Rattus norvegicus: one gene and its partners. The protein of the gene in region 3 interacts with the protein of the main gene of each other region in a biochemical or structural test. Links are inferred from orthologs where the notes say so. Each region holds a gene or a part of one and is shown on either strand. Other genes may lie near its edges. The genes, in order: Lpl, Plat, Lrp1, Thbs1, Apoe and Apbb1.

The links.
Region 1: the proteins of Lrp1 (region 3) and Lpl form a complex in vitro, tested with the Homo sapiens proteins (3 studies listed by BioGRID). The link is inferred for Rattus norvegicus from reciprocal best matches to the Homo sapiens genes LRP1 and LPL.
Region 2: the proteins of Lrp1 (region 3) and Plat form a complex in vitro, tested with the Homo sapiens proteins (2 studies listed by BioGRID). The link is inferred for Rattus norvegicus from reciprocal best matches to the Homo sapiens genes LRP1 and PLAT.
Region 4: the proteins of Lrp1 (region 3) and Thbs1 form a complex in vitro, tested with the Homo sapiens proteins (3 studies listed by BioGRID). The link is inferred for Rattus norvegicus from reciprocal best matches to the Homo sapiens genes LRP1 and THBS1.
Region 5: the proteins of Lrp1 (region 3) and Apoe form a complex in vitro, tested with the Homo sapiens proteins (2 studies listed by IntAct, with this or other methods). The link is inferred for Rattus norvegicus from reciprocal best matches to the Homo sapiens genes LRP1 and APOE.
Region 6: the proteins of Lrp1 (region 3) and Apbb1 form a complex in vitro, tested with the Homo sapiens proteins (2 studies listed by BioGRID and IntAct, with this or other methods). The link is inferred for Rattus norvegicus from reciprocal best matches to the Homo sapiens genes LRP1 and APBB1.

Annotation. Positions count from the first base shown.
Region 1 is NC_086034.1:25,617,192-25,622,271, reverse strand, and holds the start of Lpl (lipoprotein lipase precursor), read left to right. Parts: upstream 1-1,670; 5' UTR 1,671-1,859; coding exon 1,860-1,947; intron 1,948-5,080. UniProt on the Homo sapiens protein: Key enzyme in triglyceride metabolism.
Region 2 is NC_086034.1:75,964,260-75,969,215, reverse strand, and holds the start of Plat (tissue-type plasminogen activator precursor), read left to right. Parts: upstream 1-1,559; 5' UTR 1,560-1,625; intron 1,626-1,702; exon of another isoform or gene 1,703-1,718; coding exon of another isoform or gene 1,719-1,804; intron 1,805-4,956. UniProt on the Homo sapiens protein: Converts the abundant, but inactive, zymogen plasminogen to plasmin by hydrolyzing a single Arg-Val bond in plasminogen.
Region 3 is NC_086025.1:65,335,867-65,340,206, forward strand, and holds part of Lrp1 (prolow-density lipoprotein receptor-related protein 1 precursor), read right to left. Parts: intron 2,783-4,340; exon of another isoform or gene 2,050-2,782; coding exon 1,927-2,049; exon of another isoform or gene 270-1,926; intron 1-269. UniProt on the Homo sapiens protein: Endocytic receptor involved in endocytosis and in phagocytosis of apoptotic cells. Required for early embryonic development. Involved in cellular lipid homeostasis.
Region 4 is NC_086021.1:125,512,596-125,516,935, forward strand, and holds part of Thbs1 (thrombospondin-1 isoform 2 precursor), read left to right. Parts: intron 1-73; coding exon 74-149; intron 150-380; coding exon 381-583; intron 584-674; coding exon 675-797; intron 798-1,520; coding exon 1,521-1,614; intron 1,615-3,443; coding exon 3,444-3,617; intron 3,618-4,136; coding exon 4,137-4,313; intron 4,314-4,340. UniProt on the Homo sapiens protein: Adhesive glycoprotein that mediates cell-to-cell and cell-to-matrix interactions.
Region 5 is NC_086019.1:88,481,557-88,486,633, forward strand, and holds Apoe (apolipoprotein E precursor), read right to left. Parts: upstream 3,144-5,077; 5' UTR 3,071-3,143; exon of another isoform or gene 3,031-3,070; intron 2,965-3,030; exon of another isoform or gene 2,910-2,964; intron 2,315-2,909; exon of another isoform or gene 2,296-2,314; 5' UTR 2,273-2,295; coding exon 2,230-2,272; intron 1,737-2,229; coding exon 1,568-1,736; intron 1,170-1,567; coding exon 443-1,169; 3' UTR 333-442; downstream 1-332. UniProt on the Homo sapiens protein: APOE is an apolipoprotein, a protein associating with lipid particles, that mainly functions in lipoprotein-mediated lipid transport between organs via the plasma and interstitial fluids.
Region 6 is NC_086019.1:169,314,756-169,319,095, forward strand, and holds part of Apbb1 (amyloid beta precursor protein binding family B member 1), read right to left. Parts: intron 3,523-4,340; coding exon 3,347-3,522; intron 3,253-3,346; coding exon 3,196-3,252; intron 3,111-3,195; coding exon 3,025-3,110; intron 2,917-3,024; coding exon 2,853-2,916; intron 2,472-2,852; coding exon 2,322-2,471; intron 1,956-2,321; coding exon 1,828-1,955; intron 1,730-1,827; coding exon 1,724-1,729; intron 1,433-1,723; coding exon 1,318-1,432; intron 1,172-1,317; coding exon 1,087-1,171; intron 834-1,086; coding exon 750-833; intron 1-749. UniProt on the Homo sapiens protein: Transcription coregulator that can have both coactivator and corepressor functions. Adapter protein that forms a transcriptionally active complex with the gamma-secretase-derived amyloid precursor protein (APP) intracellular domain.

The DNA of each region.
Region 1 (5,080 bases), on a different chromosome or scaffold from region 3:
CATCTGACCCTTTATTAATCCCATAAAATATTAGAGTTCTCTGAAAGTTACAGGTAGCAGTGCAGGTCGGTTTGGAATCCGACTAAATGACTTTTATGTTTGAAACAAGGCTGTGTGGCTACACTGGATAAAACACTTAAGTATTTCTGCACTCCTGGTTTTATGTCTTTTATGCCACTGTCACGTTTTAAAATCAGACAGAGCTTCCTATATACGTCTCTTGGAGGTCGGCCACATCCTAACTATACGCCCTGGAGAATCTCTGCCATTTCCAAAGTCGTTCAGTGGGGCTTTGCTCTTGCCAGCTTTCAAGGTTGGCCACATGCTTCGGAGCCAGTAATGAATGTGAACGATGCCCTGTTTAAGGATCACAAATGCAAGTTGAGAAGGTGAGACATCGGGCTGGAATTCATCTACAGAACAGCATGTGTGGCTTTTATCTGATAGTTGTGAGAAATTTAAAAGGTGGGCTTATATTAAACTATATAGTTTTTGATCCCCTTAACCTGTGTGTGTGTGTGTGTGTGTGTGTGTGTGTGTGTGTGTGTGAAGAGGAGACCATATTAAAAATACTGAGATCAGTAAAGAGAACTGATTTTTTGAGACGGCTTCTCAGCATTAAGGTGGGGAATTTAATCTTTATGGTTTTCTCTAGCTAATCAACACCTTCTTCATTTAAAAAGATACTTGCAGATGAGCACAGTATACGATGTGATTTTATTTTTCTTGCTTTTCTACAAACATGTGCTAATCCACTTTGCAAAAGCTCAGTCTCAACCCTGGCAGAGCACAATTTAATATTAAAGCATCTACACAGTCATACAATGACAAGCCTAGTGGAATTCGGGATATTTCCATCAAGATCCTCACCCTGCCCCCACACTCCCAGCGCCCCATATCCCCCTCACCCTGGAACATCGCTAATCTATGTACTGTCTTTGTAAGTTTGGATTGGTAATTTGGCATGCCTTCTCCCACTGAAAGTCCAGGATAGTTTACAATATTTGACCATGACTTTCTGCCTCTGAAAATAGATGTTATTCTTGAGTTTCTTACTGAATTAGAGGATCGAGTACAATTTACATAAGGTAAAAATTAGAATTATTAACTAATTTCCTTTCTTCTACCACAGAAGGAGATCCATATTGCCAACGATAAAAGGCAGACCGTGCAGGCACCAGGCGCTGAGCAATATGTGTCCTAAGGTCCCTTTGGCCCGTGGGGACCTGTATGTGTGTGTGTGGCGGGGGTACGTTTGAAAGGATCTTTCAAGTTTAACAAAGATTTATCAAAAGGGAGGGGGTGAAAGTGTTGGACACACGCGCTGTTTAAGAGCAAAACTTCTTCCCCTCAGAAAACTGATCGTAGACTACTTAACATAAATCAGCGTAAACCCCTCCTCCCGGCCTCTACAGGGGTCCCTGGGGAGCAGGTTCCTCTGGATAGGCAAACTGGAGCCTAAACGACAAGCAAGCTTTCCCTCCTGCCCTTTCCCCTTCTTCTCGCTGGCACCGTTGAGCCTCGTTACAGTGTGCTCAAATATTTGGAAGTGAATTTAGAGTCCTCCCCCCAACTTATGATTTTATAGCCAATAGGTGATGAGGCTTATTTGCATATTTCCAGTCACTTAAACAGCTGTGCAGTGGAAACGGTGTCAGACTCGATTCCTCCTCCTCCAAGAAATTCTGCCCCTTGTAGCTGTTCTGCCCTCCCCTTTAAAGGTTGACTTGCCCCGCGGCGCTCCACCGCGCTCTAGTCCTCTGACGCCTCCGGCTCAACCCTTTGCAACGCGGATCCCCGCCCGCCTGACTGCCCGCGCAGCGCAGTTCCAGCAGCAAAGCAGAAGGGCGCGCCCGGAGATGGAGAGCAAAGCCCTGCTCCTGGTGGCCCTGGGAGTTTGGCTCCAGAGTTTGACCGCCTTCCGCGGAGGGGTGGCCGCAGCAGACGGTATGTTTTTCGCGCCAGCTCCCCTCCACCTGCAGACCGGGACCAGACCACTTTTTCTCCATCTGAAGATGGGAGGGAGAAAGTTGGAAAGGACGTGCACTAAGCAGGCGCAATAGCCAAAGAGATTCCCGGGAAGGGTGGCTGGAGTGGAATCCAGGAGGAGGAAGGAGAGACTCTGCCTCCCATCACGCTGTGGCGACTCCGGGTTCCCGCTTCTTCTTCTTCTTTCTTTCTTTCTTTATTTTTTTCATTCTCCCGATTTCCCGCTCCGTCCCCAGCTCTCTCCCGCCGCCGGCCATCACAGGGAACGGCGGGGGCGGGGGTGTGACGCGTGGGATGGGGGTGGGGGCGCAGAGGTGGAGAGAAGCTGTAGTGATCGGTGGTAACCTCCTCATAGGCAGTGGGGCTGCTGAATGCAAGGCATGTGGGCCAAGGTGACCCTAACTTTGCTGGGACTACGGGTCAGACCCCTCTGTAGGCGGGAAGAGTGAACCGAGTGTGCCCCCATCGCGGGTGCGGGTGGGAGGACGCGTTGTGTGCATTCCAACTGCATAGGGCACTGTCGCTCTCGGCTATGGGCTACTGTGAGAGTGGGAATGCGCGGCGGTGCCGGGGAACGCATGGCACGGAGTCCTGGGAAACCGCGTCCTGTAAGCGTTCCTTGCGCTCGCTCGGCTTAGCTTGGTATTCAGGAAAGCCCAGCAAAGAGCCTATCTTCCAGAAAACGAGGCTCAGCCATCAGCAGACTGGAACCTGTGGCTTGGAGGTTGCCAGTTCAGCACTGTGTCCTATCCTTGCTGTCCTAGGAGAGGCTCGCCCTAGCTGAGAGCACATGGGATTTTCTAGAGCAGTTAGCAGTTAGCAGTTAGGAGGTCGCTTTCACCATTATGGTCCCAAAATCGGTCATCTCCACGGCTCTGCCTGCTCTCTGCCTAGAGAAGACGACTAGGGTCGGTAGCAAGTTACTTTATGGCCTTGAAGTCCAGACCTGCCCACAATTGAGAAGCCTTGTTACTTGAACCTTGATTGAGCTAACAGAACACAGACACAAAAAAATGACTGAACTCAGCCATAAAAGGAGGCTGGAGTTTCCTTGTGTTGCTGCTGGTGGACTCGCCACCAGGGTGGTGTCCCCTGGAGGTGCTCTAAGGTGGCACGTCCGCAGCCTAATTCCAGTTTTAGTGGAGTCTATGAGTGCAGCTGAAAGCTAGCTTTTATTTCTGCGTATAGTTGTAAATGTCTTGTTATCAAAGGCGAGAGAATCGGTCATGGCAGAACTGCACTAAAGTAAGAATCTCGGGTGTTTTGAGGACACTGGGGATTCTGTCTCTGCTGTGGCAAGCTATCTTTCTACATAGTTTGCAACTCTGGTTAAGAAAATAGGAGCAAACGCTCAATTCATATTTCAGAAACTACACCACAGTATAACACGACTTTTACCGTAAACTCCCGTGGAAAAGGTCGTCTCCATTTTCAGGTTTTGCTTCCTTCAGAAGCTCTGGACCCAGCTTTTCAGCTGCTTAGTGTCACCCTTCTGGGTTTAGCCGCATGAGCTCTTAGGAAAGTTGGCAAGACTCAAAGTGCCCTGGGGCCCCTCCCTTATAGTTTGGTTTAAAGGGACACCTAAGTAATTACATAATAATCTTGGATTTTAGCCAACACCTGATTTTCCTATCAATAAAATGTATTGGAGGAATATTATTCCTAAGCAGATGTGGAATGATTTCCTCTTATCGACGTTCTGTTCTCTCTACTAGCACTTTCCTTCTTCTACAACAGCAGGCCAAGCCCTTTGTCCCACAAATGAATTCACCTAGGGTGAGACTGTGAAAGGCACAGCTTGGAGTGAACCCAGCTCCCCTCTAGGCTCCCAGTTTCCTTGTTCACTCTTGATGTTTTTCTTTTTTTTCCACGAAGAGTGTATGAGTTTGGGAGACATTGCCCTGGGCTTCTTCCTGGAGCCCCTGCAGCCTTTCCTGGCCCCAGGCAGGAAAGCAGAGAGCTAAGAGAGGGAGCATAGAGGGTCCGGCTGCATGAAGTCCTGTTCAGCCACAGTGCTCACTTGCAGGCTAATATCAGAGTTAAATACCTGGAAAAGAGCTCGACATGGGAGTGATTGATTAATAACGGCATTGAAAGGTGTGGGGGACAAGCGGGGGAAGAATCTCGGTGGAAAGATGTTCCGTGTGTTTGACAGAGTGTATTTTTAACACAGCTTCCCTTTAGCCCACAGCGTTATAGAGCGGGCTGTTATACTCAGCTGACAGCTTCTGTCTGTCAGATGGTCCAGTCCGGTCATTGTCCCCTTTCCTCTGGGCACAGCCTGTTTCCACATTGTCATCACCAAGGCTGCATTGTGATGTGTGTGTGTGTGTGTGTGTGTGTGTTATCTGAGACGGTAGCTGAGTTCCTCTGAGTCTTCAGACACTCGGTGCTCCTTCCCTGATGGCGTTCATCCCGTCTTCAGTGTCACCTGTTACTTCAGTGCTGCTACTTTTCTGACAGCAGAACAGTCCCCTCTATCTAACCCCACCCTCTCTGTGGTGATTTGACTAAGCCTAATTTCATCTCTGTGACTATTTTCCATATCAGGATATTTTTCTTTTCTTTGTTCTACATTACATTTGAGCTGTCTTTTTGGATATGTAGGAATAAAGGTTACACAGTAAAGGAAACTCATTACTGTCTGATTTACCTACATAAACACATCACCCCAGTGTGTGATGAGGGCCCGCCTGGGTGGTAGCAGTTGTAAGGGTATTATTTCTATACAGAATTGAAGCCTTTGAAAGGATACGCCTCTGCTCCTCTCCTTCCTTCTGATCTCCCTCACTTCCTTGGTCCTCTCTTCCTTTTCCTTCTTCCCTCCCTCTTGTTCTCACCCCTTCCTTTTTTCCAACGTGGTCTTAATTTTCCTAGGAAAATAGCAAAAGGCAGCCTAGCTGGATGAAAGCCGAGTCACTGATACATTTCTTGGTTTCCTTAGCAACAGTCACCTCGGATTAATCAAGCTCACCTGACACTGCAGTAGTTAACCGGGAGTGCACCTTGATGATGAAATCTGCTATGGAGGCGTGTCTGGGGTTCATCTTCCTACCTGTCTCTGCATGTTCTTATCAGTAGCTGCTTCAGG
Region 2 (4,956 bases), on a different chromosome or scaffold from region 3:
TTTGTCCTTAAAAGCTCAGTTTCCCTTTAAAAGGAGGGACTCTTGGTCTGTACACAGCACACCTGTCTCCTGGTTAAGGACGTCTTTGCCAGCTTCTTGCCCACCTCTCTTTCCTTGGGCTATCCTTGGAATCACATCACTTCTTATTAGGTTTTTGAACTCATCCTGGTCTTTGTCCTGTGCCTCATCAGCTGTCCACTGCCCCAACAAAGGGTTCACTAAACCCCCTCTCTACTGCCACAGGTGACACACTCTACAGAGAGGACTCCCCCATTGCAGAAGCTAGCCTTAGGGACTCTTTCTTCCACACTCCTTTTTTTTTTTTTTTTTTTTTTTTTTGGTTTTTTTTTTTCCGGAGCTGGGGACCGAACCCAGGGCCTTGTGCTTCCTAGGTAAGCGCTCTACCACTGAGCTAAATCCCCAGCCCCCACACTCCTTTTTCTTACCCTTCTGTCCCCAAGTTATCAGACTTGGAATTTATCACTCTTGGGAGCAAAGGGCTTCTAGTCAAGTTTCCCAGGATGTGATGTCACCGAGATTTATTTTCATTTGCTCGCCCCCATGGCAATCCTTTGACTAAAATCAAAGTTCCCATTGTTATGGTATCTGCTTCCCATGTGTATTTCTGGCTTTCCAGGCTCCGCCAGAGTCTGACGGGGGAAACAGACTCACAGGTGGCAAAAAAATGAAAAAGCTGGGGTTTCTGAGGATGACAGGTTTTGTGTGCATTTAGCAACGCTCAGGGTGCCTGTAATTGCTGAGACAGAGCACTAGTTCAGCCCCTTTGATGTGCAGACATCTGCAGAGGAAGACTAAACTGGGATTTGGAGCGACCTGGTGTCCCGGGGGCTGTGGAGGCTTCCGTAGGTTGTGACAGGATGTGGGCCACTAGAAGGGCAGTTTTCAGGAGCTTTCCTTGTCCACCCTTGACGTGAGGAAGCTTAGAGAAAGGATGGCTTGTGATGGAATTTCAGGGGGCTGAAAGACTTGCGCGGTGTTGTGCTTTTTCTCAATTCCCTGAGAGCTCTCCCACTGAGAAGAGTAGCTCCTCAGCCCAGGAGGGCAGGTCAGAGGTAGGAAGAGAACCATAGCCTGGTGGTCATGTGCTTACTGTCTCCAGTCACTCCCAACCAGCTCATCTTCTGCCTCTTGGCCTAAGGCCCACGTGTCCTGAGGGGTAGTCGCTTAAAATTCCAGAAGACCTCTCCCCTCCCTAGCCTAGTTGGGCGGGGCTGTTTAGAACTATAACCTCATGGTCAAGACTGGAGCTTAGAGCCGCACATCCTTACAGTTCCTTTTAGGCCTTTGAGACCAGGATTTTAAAACTGGATGATTCTTAAGTCCCCTCCAACTCTGAAAATTCCTGTGATTCGATGACGTCAGTACGGTGAATAATCAAGCTGGCGTCAAGCCAAGAGTGGCTGTGCTCCTCCGCGCGCACTTCCTCCCCTGGCCCGGTCCACCCGGCACCCACCATCATAGGAGAAACCCCGCCCACAAGAACCTCTGGCCCCACCCCTCCTTCACCCTTAAAATTGGCTTGAGCTGTCCAGGGAGACAGAGCCTGCGGGGGAGCTAATCAGGAGAAGCCCCTGCGAGAGTGGGAAAGAAGCAAGCAAGGCACGGTAAGTTGGGTTTTTGCCTTTATCGAACAGCCGGCTCTTCTTCTGTCCCTTTAAAGTCTTCGGGGCCAAACTGAGGCAGTGAGGGAATGCTTAATGGAAGCGCAGACTTGTAGTTCAGCAGAAAGCGGACCAGCCAGCATCATCCACACAGAAGGGACAGTTCTTTGCAATGACTCCGGGTAAGCTGCGGTGAGAGGGAGAGAGTGGGAGAGAGGTGTCTCTTGCAGAAGTTCTGCTTGCACAGTAAGGGGAGAAAGTAAAAAGAACGACTCCGGTTCTTCGAACGGACAATGGGAGCCTACTAACGGGCAGTAACTAGATCCAGCTGCCTTCCAGAGCGGAGACATCGTATGGCTACCTTCTGACCTCAAGGGACACACTAAAAAACAGGCTGGGTATCAAGGAGGGGCGTTTGCGTGGGCAGCATGTTTCGCTAGGCTGGCAGAGAAAAGCTGAAACTTTTAGGAACCTCTCGTTACTGCTGGGGGTTAGGATGCAAAACCTCTGGTGTCTCGCGAGTTCATCGCATCCTCTCTACGATTTACCAGTCAATTTCACCCCTCGCTCATCACACACGGCTGCGTTTGCTTTCTCATGCTGCAGCAGGAAAAGTCTAAGGGCTCTCTGGAGTCTGTCAGGACCTTTATTTTCTTAACCTCGGAGACAGCGGGAGGATAGATGGAGGCTGGGTGAGTGGTGGGGGTGGGGGTGGAAGGAAAGCATGCAGCGCTCGCAGATAACTAAGGGCAAGCTTCAGTGCAAAGAGATGCAGTGGGGAAGCTTTACTTGGTGGCCGGTTTGGAACGATGCATTGTTCTTCCGCAGCTGATAATGGGGCAGGGGCATACACAAAAAGTGAGTGTGTGGTGGTGGTGGGTATTTTCAATCCTGTGAGCACGTCACAAATACAACTGGAGTAAACTTACAGAAAAACACACTTAGAAATTTTCCAGGAGACCCAGACCCTGTGCAGGGCAGTGGCAGGCTGAGTGCGCACAGCCAGTGAGAGTTAAATCACAGTCAGTCCCAGACCAGATACTGGAAACACTAAAGTGTAAATCGTCCCTCTGCCCACCCTGTTCTTTCCACCTAAAGTGTTTTCAGGAGAGCCAGCCTGTATCTTGGAAGGGGAGTACTAGCTGCACACCCCCAGACGAGCTGGATTAGGGCAGACTTTCCAGGACAGCCCAGATTATTTGGGAAGTCTCCTGTGAGATATACAGCAGCTGGTCTGCCTCCTCCCAGATCCAGGATGCACGATGCAGCCAGGAGGAACCGAGGAGCATCCATGCTTCCGCTAAGGCGCTGGGGACTGAAGGAAGAGCGAGCTGCACACATTAAGACGCTCACTGAGCAGGGTGCTCAGCCAAGGCCAGAAAGTGACTCAGAGTTGCCTGCAGGGTTCTTGGACTGGAAAGACTGGTGTGAGGGTTTGAAGGTGAAACGCATGTGTATGTGCTTGTTTCCAGTCTTAATGGTGGAGGCTACATCAACACGGCTTATCAACAACAGTACTGGGCTTAACGCCATTCACAATGTAAGGTTCGCCGGTCCCTGAGACAGCCGGTCTCTGTGAGTGGGAGCCTTTTGCGGTCTGAGCTGAAGTAGTGCAATCTGTGCACGGCAACTGAGTGTCTATTGTCTCAGAATAGTTTTTTTTGTTTCTTTTCTTTTCTCTTGAGTGGCAGAAAATAATGTAGGAAACAACTAAACGAGGGAGCAAAGGGCAGCTTTGAGCCTGCCGTGTAATAAATAGGTCAGAGCTGGAATTGGGGTTGCAGCTTAGTTGGCAGTGTTAAAGGAGCTCGCAGAGAGCCTTTCCACCTGATTCCCAGCACCACATAAACTTAGGGTTGACAGTGAACACCTGTGATCCCCAGTGCTCAGGAGATGCGGGCAAGGAGATCAGAAACTCAAGGCTAGCCTGGGGTAAGTGAGATCTTGTTTTAGAAAGGAGGGAAGAAGGGAGGGAGGGAGGGAGGGAAGGAGAAAATTACAGGTAGAGATTCACAAAACCTTGGTCGAGCACCATCATCTTGAATATTGGCCCAACTGCTTTCACGATGCCTGGGAGACAAACTGTTATAGCTAGGAGTACAAGGTGAGATAAACTCGATTCCTGGTTACTGGAAAAAGCAAATGAAGCAGATTGCTGGTCATGTATCACAAATTTCTCTGGCGTGTTTGAAGGCACAGCCCAGGAGAGCTGTGTCAGCTGTCCAGGAAACACAAACCAGCTGTTCTTCATGCAATACATAAAGAACTGGGTGTCTTCAGAGGCGCTTGCCAAGCCGTTGGCCAACATCCTGTAACTGACAGGTCTAGCTGAGCTATATAGACTGGCTGTTGGGTGCTCCAGACGCACAGCAGAGAGAGGTCTCTAGAGTTTTCTTTGGGGATTGCCCTAAAGACCTGGGTCCATGCTGAGCCTCTGAAATGATCACTGCAGACTTAGGCTGGTCCCACACATTGTAGACTTTTCTACTGAAAGCCTATTCTGTGGAAGCAAATATCTTGTTAGCGTCAACCTTAAGGACCATGGAAGTGGCTAAATGTGTCAACTGCTAATTCCAAATTCCCAGAGCGTTTCAGAGGCCCTGTTGTGGGGCATAAATTGGCCTGGAAAAGGCAAAGAAGAGAAACAGATTAAAACTTTTTTTAAAAAGATTTTTTTTTAACATTTATTTATTTACTATGTATACATCATACAGCTTTCTGCCTGCATGTATGTCTGCAGGCCAGAAGAGGGCACCAGACCCGATTACAGATGGTTATGTGAGCCACCAGGTGGTTGCTGGGAATTGAACTCAGGACCTCTGGAAGAGCAGACAGTGCTCTTAACCTCTGAGCCATCTCTCCAGCCCCTGAGAAACAGATTAAAAATGGGATACAAGATCTCACTCTGCTCTCAGGAAATAAGTGCTCCTGTCCATGGGGCTCTCTGACCCTGGTGAAGAGCATGGCATTTTCTATCATGTCCTGTGAGCTAGGAAAAAGGATTTGCCAATAACCCTTGAAGACCATGAGGACCCCACCCCCACCCCAGAGAGCGTGGTACCTCTTCTTTATCAGTAGCTTCAAACAAACTTGATTCCTGTTGACGAGGGCATTCTTGTGAAGCCTAGTGCACACCTGCCACCCGTCAGGCTTCCAGGGTTTGTAAGGATTGCTTCTTTAGCTTTCAAAAAAATACACAAGATGGAAGGGATTAATTCATGGGGAAGCCCAGGAAACTAAGGCTCAGAGAGGCACTGAGACCACCCAGACCTGTAAGTGGCTATTGGGGGGTCCAAGTTGAGAGTTCAAGGGTCACGTTCCTAGCATTAAGAAA
Region 3 (4,340 bases):
GCCTGGGGTGGCTGTCTAGGTGTCTCTGTAATGGGTGGGTAGGTTTAATAAACCAAGATTGGCATTTCAGATAGCGGCACATTCTAGATCTCAAGAGGTGTTAGGCTAGGGCCTACTCCCTAATGGAGCCCCCAGCCTCAACATTCTCTAATCAGGAGACAGGCAGAAGGCAGAAGTGAAAGGTTTTGCTGGGTTTAAGGAAACACAGTCCCTGGCAGAAAGGAGCTCCAATGATAAACAATAACACACTAACTTTGTGTGGGTTTCAGAGCGCAGAGCTGTGTCTACAAGAGAGCCAGTTCATGCACCAGCACCAGCCTTCTGCAGCTCTCCAACGCTGTGAGTGCACCAAATTAAAACCACTTATAAATATATACTAGTTTTTTGATCCATCAGAAGAGGGCAAAAGATCTCTAATAGTTTCATCCACAGAATATTCATATAGTGAAAACAATATTTTGAGCGCCTTCGGTGAAAGCATTCAAACTAACCTTAGCAGTTTGCTTTTTTTTTTTCCCCCCAGCGTGGCTACTTGGAAATTTCAGAACTGTGTATGTGACTTATACCTTATTTCAATACAGTATTATTCTAGACTTGCAACCCAGAGCAAAGATCTAACGAAAGGATCTGGAGATGTCAAAAGCTGTGGCCTACTAACCACATCCCTCTTAATTGTCACGGTTGCTGGCTGGAGGGATGAGAGGTTAAGACAATGATCCCAACAGGTAAGGGTATATGAGAGGGTGTGTATGGGGGCAGAGCCTGACAGGCACTGCTCGTGCAGGGAGTGGCTCGTGGGCAAGAAGTTCCCATAACATCTTGTGACCCTGCCTGGATTTATATGTACCCCTGCCAGTCTGTGTGTTCAGGCATCTGTCAGAGTGTTTCTGCAGCCACTCCTGGGAGTGTATAGCATCTGCATGGGTTATACAAACCTGTCGGCGTCTTTGTCTGGTGGGTGGGCCAGGTGGGGCTATGTGTTATCTGCTATGCTCCAGGAGAACGCATGTGTGTGAACACACATGTGGGGAACTATCTGAGATGGGATTTGTATCAAACTGAAAGAAGGATGAACAAGAGTGTGACCCAGCCCTTCTCTGTGGCTTTCTGTCCTTCCGCCACACAGGCAAGGGTCAAACACGTGGAGAGGAAGTAGTGTCTACTCCTCCAGGCAGGATGCAGGGGTGAGGAAGAAAACAGGTGGCTTCATTTCCACCCTTCACCTTCAACCTTTGATGACCATGGTTGGAAGTATGGGGAAAGGGTACAGATAGGACCAGAGCCAGATGAAGTCCAGAGCATGCTAAGACCTTGGCCAGGATTGGCCATGTATGGAAGATACTGGGGGTGGAGACCCCAGTACTCTAGAGTCCTGGCAGCAAGTCCTCCACCCCATAAACCCCTCCCCATCCTGGCCACTGGCAGGGTGAAGGCTGGGTGGGGACCTTTCTCCCAGTTTAAACAGCTGCCTCTGATTACACCACTTATTGGGGGCAGGCGAGGGCAGGGTGTCAGGAAGGGTACAGGGGTGGGGCTTCTGGTACAGGGACTGAGTAAGGCCAATGGCCTTTGGCCTGGGACTAAGGGTAGCAGGGTACCTGGCAAGACCTGAAGGCCACTCATTGAGCACCAGCCAGAGAAGTTTCAAAGTGGGGAAGAAGAAAATGCTCAAAGAAAAGTGTGGCTCAGTTATCTCCTCATGACAAAGGTGCATCCCAGAGGATACTGTCCCCAACAGCCTTGGGGACATGGGAGCCAAAGGAGAAATCCAGGGTGCTGCTGTTACGCATGCCAGGGACTGTGTGGGTACTCTGAAGAAGCAGGGATACTTTTAGCTGTGTCCTAGGTACAAGTACAGAGCAAGCCCCATGCTAGGCTAGAGACGGCTGCTCTCATCTGGAGAGAGCAGCCAGGGAAGATACTCACAGATCTCGGGGGCTTCATCAGAGCCGTCCGGACAATCTCTTTCCCCGTCACACCGCCAGCCCTTCGAGATACAGGTGATTTGGTCTCTGCAGGCAAACTGCTTAGGGCTGCAAGTTTTAGGGGCTGAAGGCAAGGAAAGAAAGGGTAACTGTAAAGGAGGGAACTCTCTCTTGGACCCTGGAGCTTCCTAAGGCTCGTTCTCCTCCAGCATCAATCCTCCATACTGTGGACCTGGAACAATGGAGGAGCCAAAAGGACCTTATCATCCCTTTCCAAGTTTCCTAGGTTGTCTGTTCAGCAGGCCCCTGTAGCTCCTTGCTGTTTGTCACCCCACCAGACACCAGCACCCCTCACTCTGCTAGGGATGATGGTGGGACAGGGCAGAGACCTTCACTGTGCTCTTTCTCTGTCTCTTCTTAATCCCGTCCAGCTGGCCTTTCTTAACCTCTGACCTCAGGATGCTACTGACCTCTTGATCTATATCACCCAGCTCCTACCTCTTACCGCTGGACCCCTTGGCCCACAGTGTGGCTTGGAGATGTTATCTGCAGAGGACACCTGGGCAGAAACTTCAGCTTCCACAAGACACAAGACCACAAGTAGGACTTTTAGGGGAGTTCTCTGGATAAGAAGGACCTAAAGCTCATTACCAGCAGAGGCAGGGTGCTGGTTGGCTTGATCTCTAGAAACTAACTGTGGTACCCCTCACCTGTGGAGTGATTTATATCCATGGGAACCACCTGGCTCTAATCCCTCTCATCCCCCCTCCTACCCTCATGAGGAGCTCCACCAGAGACAGCGGGCAGTACTGTGATCAGCATGAGTGTAGCAGACAGTGATAAACTAGCTTTTTCCATGTGCTGTCTTATTTAGTCTTTCCCACAAGATGAGAAGAGGGAAGGCTAACCCACAGTTTCTGGGCTAGACCTGCTGAGGATCACACACCTGGCAAGTGACAAACCAGGACTCAACCCAGTTCACCCAAATCTAGGTTTCTATTGTTGTTGCTTTGTTTCCTTTTTTCTTTTTCAAGTTTTATTTTATGTGTATGGGTGTTTTGCCTGCATGGCTGTCTGTGTAGCACATTTGCCTGGTGTCTGAGGAGGGCACAGAAGCACTGGGTCCCCTGGAAGTAGATTTAGAAAAGGTGCAAGATGCCTTTGAAATGGTGGGAATTGAACTCAGGTACTCTGGAAAAGCAAGCAGTGAGTCTTAACCACTGAGCCATCTCTTTGGCACCAGGGCTCTAGGTCTTTAAGGAGTACAGCCCTCACCTGGCAGCCATACCCCTAACCCATCTGTTCCAGTCACCATGTCCTGCACGGGACAGGGGTCTTTCATCCACATCAGGGCAGGAGTCTCCTCTCCTGGTTTCTCATCACCTTTTCTCCCACCCGGTAGCGCCCATTTCTGTTTCTCTGACACATACTGAAGGCCAGCTCTGTGCCAGGCACTGAACTAGGAACCAAGATGTGTCCAAAGGTCATGGACCCCTCGGGACCCACAGTTCCTGGGGGAAACTACATAGTACTAACGGAGGGCTGAGACAGGAGAGTAAGAGAACTGTGTCAGGGCTCTGAAGGAGGAAGTTGGATGGCCACACGAAATGTCCTCTCTCCCTCATCCCCAGCTCTGGCGGAGGGGACTGTACCCAGGCCCCTGGCCAGAACCAGAGCTGAGTTCAGGAAACACATCAAGGATGGCCTGGCCAGGCCCCCTTGGAGTCCCCCCTCCCTCCCTTCTCCCCCCTGCCCTGATCCGGGAATAAAGGCCCCTTGAGGAGGTGGATAATGCTGAGTTCATTGCCCCACTGGGCCAGCTGTGAGGTCTTCCCGGGAAACAGCCCGCCAGCCTAGTTAGCATGCTGGAGACCACCACTTCCCCTGGCCAGCCAGGCGGCCTGAGGGGGAGAGAGGGACTGCAGCAGCTCTCAGAGACAGATGGGGTGTTTGGAGCTCAGAATCGGACCCCTGAGACACCCAGGCTGATGACACATCTTCCCCTTCCCACCTGGGGGCTGAGCCCATGCCCCCCCACTCGCCAGGGGCAGAACCCACAGCCAGGGCCTGAGGTCACTGGCTGGACACTCTGACCTCCTCTGTCTTCTGAGCCCCAGCCGTGGGTCCCCTCCTCTGGCTCTCACATGGTTCCCCCACTGTCCCCCACCCCCATTTTTGGCCTGAATTCGACAGAGGAAACAGCAGCTGGCAAACTCCAAAAGCTGAAATGAGAGATTCACAAACCAGATGTGCTCTTGTGGAGGGCAGTGGGGGATGGGCTCCCTCCCTCCCAGAAAGGAAGAGGAGGGCTCAGACCCTGTCCTGCACCATCTCCTCAGACCCAGGGGCACAGGGTGGATGGAGGAGAGGGCAGGTTGCAGGTCTCTCAGGAAAGCCAGGATAGCAGAAGGATTG
Region 4 (4,340 bases), on a different chromosome or scaffold from region 3:
TCACCACAAGCAGACAGACAGGCTACCCCACCCCCACTCCCAGCATTCTACAATGTCTGTCTTCTGCCCATAGGGGGTGCTGCAGAATGTGAGGTTTGTCTTTGGAACCACCCCAGAAGACATTCTCAGGAACAAAGGCTGCTCCAGTTGTGAGTACTCCTGTGTTTTTAAGATTTGGAGAATTCTGGGGAATTCCACCAAAAGCACCCTGAGAAATGTAAGCAGTAGGGTGGATGCACATCTCAGGGGAACAGAGTTGGCGCCCACTCTGTCATCACAAATGAAATGTCTTTTACAACCCATAACCTGAAGGGTGGGCGGGTGAGATAAGCTGTGGAAGCCTTGAATGACTGTTGAATATTTTATACCTCATTTCTTAGCAGCTACCAACGTCCTTCTCACCCTTGACAACAACGTGGTGAACGGTTCCAGCCCTGCCATCCGCACCAACTACATCGGCCACAAAACAAAGGACCTCCAAGCCATCTGTGGCCTCTCCTGTGACGAACTATCCAGCATGGTCCTGGAACTGAGGGGCCTGCGTACCATCGTGACCACGCTACAGGACAGCATTCGAAAAGTGGTCAGTGGCCTCTGCTCCCATTTGCCGGCTCCTGAAGGTCACCACAGGTGACCATGGGAGTCTGGACGCTCATGAGCGTTTTCCCTTTCAGACGGAAGAGAACAGAGAGCTGGCTAGCGAGCTGAGGCGGCCTCCCCTCTGCTTCCACAATGGAGTCCAATACAGGAACAACGAGGAGTGGACTGTAGATAGTTGCACAGAGTGTCACTGCCAGGTAAGGGACACTCACAGACTACAATAAGACTTGACACCATATGTCTCAGTAGATATTTTTAAATGTGCTCTGGCCTGCTACCAAAAATGATTTTTTTCTTTCATATGTAATGACGTCTACACATTCCTCTTTAAATCTCAGAAGGTTTATCAACTTGTAATTATACCCCAGGCTAAGCAGCTAAGAGAGCAAATCTATCTAACCACTGGAATTATTTACCTGCTTTAGTTCAAAGACCAAGTATTGGATGTCAGATACACAAAACCTGCTTACAGCATTCTTTTTTGAACAGCCCTAATTTGTATTCGGCTCTGGCAGGCAGATCCTTCTAACACTGTTCGGATCTCTGCATCACCAGGAAAAGTTTAAATGCAAATCCCTGATTACTGAATTTAAGACACAACTTCCATTAAGTTCCTATTTTCCTCCAATATGTGATAAGACCTTATCTACATTTGAGATACTCACTGATATGGCCTGCAGCCTGTTGCTTTTCCTTATATCTGTAACTTCCACCCCTGACTGAGTAGCAGTTAAAAAGAACTTTCCCAGAGAATGGAGAATTAGCCCTGGAACTATGTGACTCTAGGGACTATAGATCCAGCAGACATCTGTCCTATAAAAACCATCCTGCCTATACCTCAGCTTATAATGGAAATGCCACAGAAAGCTCCTCTTAGCAATATGCTTGGTAACATGTTTCCCTCTCCTCCTGCCTTGCAGAACTCAGTTACCATCTGCAAAAAGGTGTCCTGTCCCATCATGCCCTGCTCCAATGCCACAGTTCCTGATGGTGAATGCTGCCCACGGTGCTGGCGTAAGTTCCTAAAATGGTAGAACCATACCTCAGTGGCTAGCTCAGTGGGGGCATCCTGACAGCTGGGCACAACACTGGAGCCCAGCCCCTCGCAGGTCGTTCAGGCATATCCTGTCAGATAATTGCAGACAGACTTGGGTAACTATCAGCTTGTCTATTGTACAGAGTGCAAACCTCCATGAGGACCAGATCTTAACCACCCATCTGGATTGTAGCATAGGCAGTGGATGATCTTGGCAGAGCTCATGGACTCTGGTTTTATGCTATAAGGAGGGGAGATGAATACAGCACTGGACTTAAGCTGGTTGCTTTCAGGAATTGATCTTTTTGTTAGAAAAAACATGATCTACTGGAGAAGGGACAGAAACTGGTGTAAGCATTGGGCTGTTTGAAAAGTCACCTGTTTTGTGTGCAGTGATAGGAGCCCTAAGAGATTTGTATCTATTGAATTTCCAGGGTAGTAAAGGAAATCAGCCACTACACTGCTGTGTAACGCTCTGCCTCCAGGGCTTGTTGCCAGCATAAGCACTTTGCTAAGATGTTTTAATACAGAAGGCACAAGTCATAAAAGTGACTCATCATGCCTCACGAAGAAAGCAAGGATGTTGAATTGCCCTTCAGAGAGAGAGAGAGAGAGAGAGAGAGAGGGAGGGAGGGAGGGAGGGAGGGAGGGAGGGAGAGAGAGAGAGAGAGAGAGAGAGAGAGAGAGAGAGAGAGAGGACAGAGACAGAGAAATAGAGAGACGCACATATGAGCCACACACAGCTCAGAGTTATCAATCCCATGGTAGCAATTTTGGCACAGTAATGTTTTTCTGTGTGTCCACTTCTGTCCAGCCTCTATCTGAGGGTGAGTTACAGGGAGCAAAGCCCACGGAGAATAGCACAACTCTGAGCTGGGGTTGTTAGGAAGATGTTTATTGATGGAAAAAACAAGTTCCCTGTCGTCTGATAGACAGGAGTGGTTGTCATCATGGTGTCTGAGCAGATAGCAAACAAATACCCTCTCCTCTTGAGAAAGTACAAAAACACCAGAGGTCAGCATGAGGAAAACAAACTGATCCACCTCACGGCCTCAGCCACACTGCCTCCCAACATAGACCAGGGCTTCTCTGATAGTCAGAAATGATACAGGCCAGCTGTCTGACACACTGGCATTCTTGGACACTGGCCTGGAAGCATCTAAGACATCCTCAGTCAGCAAAGGAGAATCTGCTTAAGACGCACATGGGAGACTCCATGATGGGTGAACAGGAGAGTCCACACTGTAAGCGGGTTCAGCTGTAAGGACCAGGCAGAGCCTGCCATCACCCCCAGACCTTTACGATGACCTGGGATGAACTCATGGCCCACTGGCCCAAGACTGGCATGTCTGGAGTTAATGATATGACTGCATGCTTGCTCCTGCAAAATAAGGGATGTGTGAATTGGCTCCACTATTGTTTTCACTTCCCAAGGCACTTGTGTAGCCAAGCATCTGCTGTGTACTAAAATATACACAGTCACTATTAGTTAATGGTCCTTCCATTAAACTGGGAGTATGGAAAAAGAAGGATTTTTTTTTTTTTGGTTCTTTTTTTCGGAGCTGGGGACCGAACCCAGGAAGAAGGATTTTTTAAAAAGAGACCTATTAGGTTGGGGATTTAGCTCAGTGGTAGAGCACTTGCCTAGCAAGTGCAAGGCCCTGGGTTCGGTCCCCAGCTCCGAAAAAAAAAAGTCCTATTGATTTGCAACCTTTGCCAATAAAGGTCCCTAAACACATACATAAACTGCCTGAAGAGAAGTGGATCTTAGTCAGGAGATGCTGAATGGCCTCCTTTCTCCCCACAGCCAGTGACTCTGCTGACGATGGCTGGTCTCCCTGGTCTGAGTGGACCTCTTGCTCTGCCACCTGTGGCAATGGGATTCAGCAACGTGGTCGCTCCTGTGACAGCCTCAACAACAGATGTGAGGGCTCTTCAGTACAGACGAGGACCTGCCACATTCAGGAGTGCGACAAAAGATGTAAGCATCATGGCCGCCAAGGGGTGGCAATGTCACCCCAATGCTTTGTCACCAAGAGCAGCTCTACAGCAGAGAGCCTGAGGGCCCAGGTTCTGAGCTCTCAGTCTCAACCACACCCCTGACCTCTGCACTCTTGAGCACAACCTTCCTTCCCAGATGCTCCTCCTCATCGATAACATGAGAATAATAACCATTCTTGATAAAAGTTATTTTAGGCATTTCCTCAAGATAATTCATATGAAACAATTAGAATAGAGCTGGGCTCCTGACCAGCAACTCTCTCTTACACACACACACACACACACACACACACACACACACACACACACACACACACCATTTTTCCTATGATAGTTTCTCCGTTGACATGTGGCAATAGCCAGTTGCTACTATACACTGTATACTATACACTAGTTTAAGTTGCTGTTGGTCAGCTGTGAGAACGATTGCGTGTTGAGATTTTCTTCGTGGTCCCCCTCCAAGGCAGCACCATTTGTGACCGTCAGCTTTGCCTTTCAGTTAAACAGGATGGTGGTTGGAGTCACTGGTCCCCGTGGTCGTCCTGTTCTGTGACCTGTGGTGACGGTGTGATCACGAGGATCCGACTCTGCAACTCCCCCAGCCCCCAGATGAACGGGAAGCCCTGTGAAGGTGAAGCTCGGGAGACCAAAGCCTGCAAGAAGGACGCCTGCCCAAGTAAGTGTGGGCCTGCCCTGTGGGTTC
Region 5 (5,077 bases), on a different chromosome or scaffold from region 3:
CCCCAGTGAGATCTAGAGGCGTGGTTCAGTGGTAGAGCCCCTCCCTAGAATCCCCCCAGTGAAGGACTGGGGGCGTGGCTCAGTGGAAGGTAGAATCGCCCGGTGAAGGGTTGCGGGCGGGGCTCAGAGGTAGAGCACTTGTCCTTTGGCGTTGCTAGCTCCTAGGTTTTATCTCTATTACTGCAAAACCAAAGCAGAGCAGACCAAACTAGACTTGAAATAAAGCACATGACCTCCTTCTACAGACATGGCCATGGAATGTGTGCTATGTCAGGCAGAAACGATAAACTGAGGCTGAAGCTGTGTGGAATCACTCACAGAGACTCAGAACGTGCTTGGAGAATCTTTATTAAGCAAGGGCCACCAGAGGGCCAGAGTGGTGCTTGGGACAGGGCCACCTGGCTGGTCATGGATGTTGCGGCAGGGCGTAGGTGAGGGATGATCATTGATTCTCCAGGGGCACTGTGGTGGAGGCAATGGAGTTGGTAGCCACAGAGGCCTGTATCTTCTCCATTAGGTTTGCCCACTGGCGCTGCATGTCTTCCACTAGCGGCTCGAACCAGCCCTTGATGCGGGCCTGGAAGATCTCGGCCTGCAGGCGTATCTGCTGGGTCTGCTCCTCCATCTTGGAGCGCACCTCCTCCATCTGCTCACGCACCTCCTCTAGGCGGTCTCGGGCCTGGTTGCCCACTTCCTCCAGCCGCCCTCGGATGCGGTCACTCAAAGCCTGGGCGCGATCGCGCAGGGGCTGGGCGGCGCCAGCGCCTAGGTTGGCTGTGCGCTGACGACCCTGCTCCACCAGTGGCCCCAGGCGCTCACGGATAGCACTCACACCGCGCTCGGCGCCCTCCTGTGCCCCGGCCTTGTACACCGCCAGGCGCTTCTGCAGATCATCCGCATCCCGCATCAGGCGCTTGCGCATCTTGCGCAGGTGTGTGGAGAGGCGCGACCGCAGCTCCTCTGTGCTCTGGCCCAGCATGGTGTTTACCTCGTTGCGGTACTGCCCGAGTCGGTTGCGTAGATCCTCCATGTCAGCTCCCAGACGGGCCTGTGCCGCCTGCACCTCTTTAGCCAGCCTGGCCCGTGTCTCCTCCGCCACTGGGCCCAGCTGTTCCTCCAGCTCCTTTTTGTATGCCTTTACTTCCGTCATAGTGTCCTCCATCAGTACCCTGCAGGCCCAGAGGAAACACAAGAGGGAGATGAATGCAGAGACAAAAAGGTCAGAATTAGGGTGGGAGGAAACCACAGAGCGAGGTGCGGTGGTACTCGCTTGTATTCCCAGAAGTTGAGAAGCTGAGGAAGGAGAATTGCAGAGCCTTCGAAGCCAGCTTAAGTTAGATTGGGATCCTGTCTCAAAAAGCCAAAAGCCATTCGACCAAGAACATAAATGAATGCCTGTTCATCCCAGTATCCAGAAGGCTAAAGAAAGCAGAAGTATTGAGAGTTCAAGGCCAACCTGGCCCACACACTCATGGAGAAAGGAAACAAGTAGGTAGGTGCCCAGATAGGAGGAACCCCTGGATCTGGATACTCAGCAGGTGCGGAGGGTGAAGCGCTGAGCACTCACGTCAGTTCCTGTGTGACTTGGGAGCTCTGCAGCTCTTCCTGGACCTGGTCAGAAAGCGTCTGCACCCAGCGCAGGTAATCCCAGAAGCGGTTCAGGGCCTGCTCCCAGGGTTGGTCGCTTTGCCCTGGGAGCTGATCTGTCACCTCCAGCTCTCCCTCGGCCAGGCATCCTGTGTAGAGTAGTAAGTTTAAGGCTGGGTCAGGACCTACAGTGCTCTTGGGTCTCTTTGAAGCAACAGTGCGTCTGGAAGTCAGTCGTGGAGTCTGTTTAGATACTACAAGCATACACTGTCTAGTATCCTATGTAGAACAGAGCTGAGACTAGGCTGGTATGGGGTTAGAAAATGTATACCTCCCCTTTAAAAGCGACTAAGAAATTACACACTTCAACTTTTTAATTGTGTGTCTGTGTGTGTACCCTTGGAGGTCAGAGGACAACTAGAGAGAATCCGCTCTCTCCTTCCACCATGTTGGGCTCCGAGATAAGTCTTCGAGCTTTATGACAAGCACCTTTACCCTCTGAGCATCAATCCTCTCATATTATGGATAGGGAAAGACAAGGCCTGCATGTAAAACAGCTGCTCAGGGCTATTGAATCTCAGAGGTCTCAGAACTGCCCCAACCCCAACCTGCCAGCAGGGAAAGCCACCCCTTGCCCCATACCTGTCAGCAATGGGACCAACAGCAGGGCCCACAGAGCCTTCATCTTCCCAGTTGTGATTGGCCAGTCTGCGGAAGGAAAAGCTGTCTTTGAACACCAGTGGGTAGGGGTGGAGAAACTCGGGCCACCCAAAGAGCCCCCACCTTAATTCCCTTCTCAGGTCTGTGAGTCATCACAAACATCTCCACAATAGAGCATCTGCCCAAAGGTCTATTTACCTCCCCCTCCTATCTCTATCTCAGCACCCCGGGGTGGACCCGCTGCCAAAAATTCCAGCTCCCAGTCCTAGGGTTCAAATTCCACAACGCAGAGGGACAGCCGGTGGTCCAATTTACATTCCTTTCTACCTTCCCTGCTAAGCCGGGCTCTCGGTTTAGTACTAATGTAAGTTTTTAATCGTCCTCCATCCCTGCGAAGTGGTACCCTCCCGCGACCCCAGAACTTCGGACGCTCAGGCATGAGGATCTTCGCTTTGAAACTGGCCCAGGGTAATTTTGGGGACTGTGATGGAAATCAGTAGGTATTTATATAAACGCAACCTAAGGCTCATCGCGGGTCCTTTCGCTAAAGATTGATACTACCTTCTAGTTGAGCCCGTATGCAGTGCACCGACAGTCCCATACTCCTGGAGATGACCCCTCCATCTCCTCCATCTGTTCTGACCCCGGCAAAGGCTAGTTACCTCACGATCTTAGTTTGTCTCCCCGCCACCCTAAGTCTTCTATCGGGCTTCCTGCTTTTCTAATAATTGTGCCTGTTTCCTGGACTCCAGCGGATTTCAAGGTCCCCTGCCCACGTCTTACCAAGCCCCCTGGGTGAATCGCCAGCCCAAGCTTGTCTTACCAGCTCCTTCCGAAACAACTCCTTAGCCTCCGGGGTCTGAGCAGGGGACCGGATCCCAGACCTGTCCAATTATAGGACTCCCCCTGCCCCGCCCCCTCCTCAGGGCTAGGGCGGGCTGGGCCAACCCCCTGTCACGAGGCGGGTTGCTCTCCCCCCCCCCCTTCACAGCAGGGCAGAGGAAAGAGGTGGAGTTTTGATGCCTTGTGACCCCCCCCCCCCCCCAAAAAGGAGCTGACTCCTCATTGAATAATCCAGGCCTTGGTGCTGGGGCACTGAGTACTGCTTCTCCCCTTTCCCGCGGGGTCTGGTGCATTCGTTGTACGGAAAAGGGCTGGAGGCTTAAATGGAAATAGGTGGGGGGCTCTATCTGTTAAGAGGCTCAGCTTCTGGGATGAAAACTGAGTTTTAGCCCTGGCCCCTCTTTGTTGATTCCTCTGCCACGGGTGAACTCTCCCCATCCCCGGGCTGGGGACATGCTCCTTTCCTTCAGGAGCTGTTCAGTGGTGGCTCCCAATGGATTTGAAGCCATACATTGTCAAGCCCTGGGAACCCAAGTGTTGATGCTACTGTCCTGTTTCTGGCGGTTGCCGGATGTATAATCTTGGGAGGGGGAGCTATCCCCACCCCTACTGAGCACAACTTTCAAGTTGTTTTGCGATCGGATCCTCGGGCTGCCCTTAAAGTCACAAAGGTCCTTTTGCCTCTGCTGTGGCATGCTGGGGTTGCAGGTGTGCCCCTCGGCACATGCATTTGCCTTTTCCAAGCACTTTTCCTTTTCTTCATGAAAGAAGTGTAGGGGCTGGAGAGATGGCTCAGAGGTTAAGAGCACTGACTGCATTTCCACAGGACCCAGATTTAAATCACAGCATTCGCAACTCAACACCCAGATTTGACAGCCCTACAGGGACATACATGCCGGCAAAACACCCAACACACTTAAGAGACAAGCCAGAAGAACAGCTATTTATGGGGACATGTGCCTCTAGTCCTAGTCACTTGCAGAGCTGAGGCAGGAGGATCCCCTGAGCTCAGGTAATAGAACAGAGCCCAGGCTAGCACATGGCAAGGCTGCTGTTACCGGGCTGTCAGGTAGGGCCAAGGGCTCACACACCACTCGGATGCTTGCTGAAGTGCCGCCTGCACAGGGGTTCCCATTCCCAGCTGTTGCTCAGAGGGTGGCAGTAGGAGAAGCCTCCTAACAAGGCTTGGCAGCAGATATGGCAACACATGACTCCGCAGGATGGGAAGAGGTGGAACACCTGGTTCCAAGGGTACAGGGTGCCGGGCCCAGGCCTGTTAGTTTTGGCTTAAAACACTGACAAGGAGTGGGTGTGGTGAGATGATTTTCATGGGTTACTAAGGGCCAGCTTCCATCTCCAGATGGCAGTAAAAAGGGTTTCAGTGTTGCGGTCTAGAGGGTCATTGACCAGTTCATCTTGAGTCTTCTCCTCCAGTGGGGTGCCAGGAGGAGCAGTGGTGGCATGCAGGCCCAATTTGAAGATGTGACCACACACACATCAGAGCTGGGGCTGGAATGCAGCTCCACGGAAAAGCACTTTAGTGACCCAGCACCTGCCTGATACGTGAGGGCTGGAGTTATATCTTCAACAAAATTAAAAGAACCAAAAAAAAAAAAAAAAAATCCCCAAAACCTTCACGTTTCCTGTTTTAGTCTGGGAAGGTCCTAGGGCCCCTTCCTCCCCCCTCAGTTACTTTCTTTATTGTGCTGAACTTCCAGGAACTTGGTTTCTTCCTGAAGTTTCTGAGACCTCTGACCTTCCCACTGGGAGAAAGTCAGCACATGCTACCACCTCAGCCCTTTTTGGGACAGGGAGGCTCCTGAGCCCCATCTCCCTGCCCCCACCCTGTTTGCAGAGACAAAGTCCTCCGCCAGCTCTCCGGGGCCAGGCTGCACAGGGGGAGTGACCTGGAGCCACCCTCCCGGTGAGGTCAGGCCTATGATGTTCCCGCCGCCAGCGTAAGTCCCCAAGAGCAGAGGGTGTGACT
Region 6 (4,340 bases), on a different chromosome or scaffold from region 3:
TTCCACAGAGACCTTAACTTATTATGACATTTATTTGACTGGGTCCTGATTATTCTACTGTAAGTTCCCATAAACTCCATGAAAACCAGGCTGTGGCCATTGTTTCCCAATACAGGGCCTGACACAACAGGTTTCAAAGGTAATTGTTAAAGAAAGAAAGAAAGAAAGAAAGAAAGAAAGAAAGAAAGAAAGAAAGAAAGAAAGAAAGAAAGGAAGGAAGGAAGGAAGAAAGGAAGGAAGAAAGAAAGAGAGAGAGAGAGAGAAAAAAAGAAAGAAAGAAAGGAAGGAAGGAAGGCGGGTGCTGTGAAATTAAATAGTATATTTTAAAAAACTCTATATTTTTATAAAATTAAAGCTATGTTAATTATGCTTACGGCTTCCTTCTCTGGATATGTATGGCTCCTGTACTGAACCCAGCGCCAGGCTAATGCCTGGTATTTCCAGCCATCCAAACACCTGCCTCCTAAACCCAGCAAAGCTCTTCCATGGGATCAGGGCTAGGGGAAGAAAGTCACCCTCCGTGTCTAGCTCAGCACTAGTCCTGTGCTAGATGTTCACTGAAACATGCTCACTGGAGTAACAGGCAGGACACAAGACAAGGCTGGCACAAAGGTAGGTGGGATGAACTCTGAAAGGCAAGGAGATGCCACGTAACGAGAAAATCCAGGAGAATGAACCATAGAAAACACAGGGCGGGGCACAGAGTACCAGGACCAAGGGGGTGGCCCCTGAGGGAAGAGGACACATACCAACGGGTTTAGCCACAGGCACGTTCCCTAGGTAATAGACTTGAAACTTCTGCACCAGTTCATTCTTTGGTGCTGGGAATTCCACTGTGAGAAGAAAAAGAAAAAGAGGGTCACTGTTCTAGGTCCTGACACTAAAGCATGAACTATGCATTTTCCTAGTCCAACCCTCACGCCCACTTCTCCCCTGCCTCCCTCTACAAGCTTATCCACTTATGTACTGTCAAGCACCCATCTCCATGTGCTCATGCCTGCCCAGGATCCTGTGCCTCTTCTTGGGTCACCTCACCTTAACTAACAAAGCTGAGCTGTGCCTTATGAGGCTGCGTGTGGTACTCACCTTGGAAAGGGACATCCACAAGTTTAGAGTGGTCCAGGGAGAGTCCATTTACCAAGCAGCGAGCATTGCGCCGTTCAGACATGATCTGAGGAATGAATGGGGGGTGTGTGTGCTCTGTTAGAGCTACATTGGCCCCGAAGCCCCCACCTCACTACCCACCAACCGGCAACCCTACCCACACCCTTCTAGAGCAAAGATGACAGCTAGTTCAGGGAGTGGAGGGGGCCGTGCCTTGGAGCAGATCTCATGCAGGCTGGTGGCGATGTTCTTGGCAGGTGCCTCACAGCGAAACACGTGGCACTTGAGCATCTGGGTCAGCTTATCTCGAGCTACGTAGGCAAAGTCCCTGTTGGGGGAGGGTCACCTCAGTGTCTCCTAGAACCACCAAATGCCATGCCTGGCCACCATTCCACCCTCAACCTCCCTGTCCATGACAGTCTACAGGGTTTGCCCTGGTGTTCCGTAGGTCTGCCTTCAGGAGCTGGGGAGGCCAGAGGCAAGCATGCTGAGGTGGGGGATAAGGCCCAGGACAGCAGGTGAGGAAGGGGCAGGGCACACAGTAAGGGAGCCTAGGTGCTTCGAAGCATCCGGTCCAGGAGTAGGAAGGGGCACAGTCAAAGCAGATGGACGTTAATACCTCTCTCTGGGTCCGGCAGCACAAGAGAGCCAAAGAGCAGATTAGAAAAAGGACTAACTGCTGGATGGATGAGCCTCCCCCACCCCGGCGATTCCTGTGCCCACCTTCCACTGTCCCGCCCAACGCCCCACACGCGAATGCTGACGATGGGCTGGGCATGCAGCAGTGTCTGGTTCTGTGGCTCCACCAACTTTAGCGTCTCATCCTCCAGCTGGAGCAGCAGATCCTTTCCCTGCAAACCCAGGAGGTGGGACTCAGTGGTACCCTAGTGGGGGAGGGGGGCAGAGTTCTGCCTTCTCCAGCAAAGGGGACATTGGCCACCATTGGGGAGGAGCAGGGCTTACTTAGCTGTCAGACTGCCCACCTGTGGGCCTTAGTCTAACAAAGGTTGTCCCAGGACTCTTATCCCCATCACTGTTAAGCAACCACTCCTCAGGGTGCAAGGCTGGAGTTACACATCCATCCCTCAGAGTTGCTCCTTAAACCCATATATACCCCCATGTCCATCAGCCCTCTCGGAGACTAGTCAAATCCTTCGTATCTCACAATTCGCTGCACACCCCCACGGTACCACCACTTCACCAGCTCAGGCCCTCACCTCTCCCCAGCCTCCAGACATCGGATCATGTAGATTGTTTTTGTGGTAGGAGAGCTGGCGGATACAATTGTTGACTGCCACACTGCTGCGTCCTGGGGCCAGCTCCTCCTCAGTCATCTCTACCCAGCCTAGGGAGCGCACAGCGAAACACTGCCAGACACAGAAAAGGGTCGGGGTAGAGATCTGAGATGGAATTGGAGGTGCCTTGGGCACAGGACAGAGGAGCTCCTGACCTGGCACATAAAACATGTGAGACATTCTGAACTTAGATGGAAGGTCCCCAAACAAGACATGGTCAGAAGAGATGGCCTGCTGATCTAAGCCTTAAGAGTCCCTAAGAGGCCCTTGGGCCAACTGAGTTAAACACAGAAGCTGTCAGAAGACTGTTCAGCATACACACGGCCTTGCCTGAAACTGGTAAGAACTTGCTTGGGAGATTTGCTAAGACCACAGATGTCCTCAAAGCACAGCATGAGGTCTGTCCTCCACATAGAGGCCTGCTTACTAAATGGGTGTTGGTCTTGAACAAACCTTGATCCCTGGATTGGCGTTCCGTTGGGGCAGATTCTCCTCCTCCTGGGGCACTGGCTCTGGGCTGGAGGCAGATGGGAACACTTGACACAGCACCCTTAGTTTTAAGAATCCTCCCAATACCCCTTCCACATAGATCCAGTCTCACCCTAGTCTGCTGCATCTGACTCACCTGAGGCTCTGAGCTGAGAAGGGCAATGTCCCCTCCTCAGGGTCCTTCAGTCCCAACTCCATTGGGGCCTCTTCACTAGGTTCATCCTTTGAAAACAAATTAAAGAATCAAGCCCAAAATGAAGTCCCCCTCTCCAGTAGCCCCCAGAGTGAAGCTGGTTTCTTTATTTACCTTCCAAAACTCTCCTTCCTCAAAGCCTTCTTGGTGAGCAAAGCCAGTCCAGGTGAGCTGGAGGAAGAATGGGTGTAGGGTGGTAGTTTCACCCTGTTCTAGAAGCACAGACCCTTCCACCCCTGGTGTGCAACAAGCCATTGAGCCTTACCTGGGACTCTTCTTGGGGACTGTTCCCCTGCGATGGGGAGGCCCGGCCTGGGGGTTCCCACTGGGTGGTCCCTGTTGGGATGTGCCAGTAGTAGGTCCCTGAGGTGTCTTGGACCCTCATCCATCCAGCCGGTAGATCGGAATCCGTCTCGAAAGCGTTGGGGTTCCAGAAGGAATCTGCCAGGTAGGAGGCTCAGTGAGGGTCAGCCTACCCAATAATCATCCAGTAGAGGGCCAGTCCCCTTCCCAAGACCCCAAGGCTGAGAAGAAGAAGCTGGGAAAGGGACATTATAATTCCTGCTTGCTTCTAGAGCCGGACACTTTAGTCACCACATTGAGAGCCACCAGTGGGGAGCATGGCTCAGGTCTCCTCTGCTGCTAGCCCTGCTGCTGCCTAATGTGGCCACATGGAGAGAAAGAAGAAAGCGGAGAGGAAGGAGGAGGAAAGAAGGAGGCCGAATGACCCAGATCACCTCCTCACACATCATGCATAGACATTTTGTCTAGTTATAAAAGGTGCACACACTGCCGGCTTCTGCACACATCCACATGCACACAGACCCACAATATATGTAAGCCCCACCACACACCTGCACAGCCATAAACTGTGCACAGCGCACAGAAAATTCTGGAAGGCACCACATACAGGTATGCTTGTGAGTTCAGGGGCAAACAGACATAACAACACCAGTTATACACTTGTGTAGAGCTATGTGTTTATATATAGCTATAGATGCCAGCCCTGCTAACAGGTGTGTACATACAGCATTACCAAAACCTCCCAACATACATGTGAGTACCACATGCACATACAGGTGGGGAAACACTCAGATACAATGTATTATCAACCTCTGCTATGTCTGTGCAGATAGCGCGCGTGCGCGCGCGCGCGCACACACACACATACACACACACACACACACACACACACACACACACACACACACTCACTCACTCACTCATATATACCATGCACACACATAGACTCTGTATCT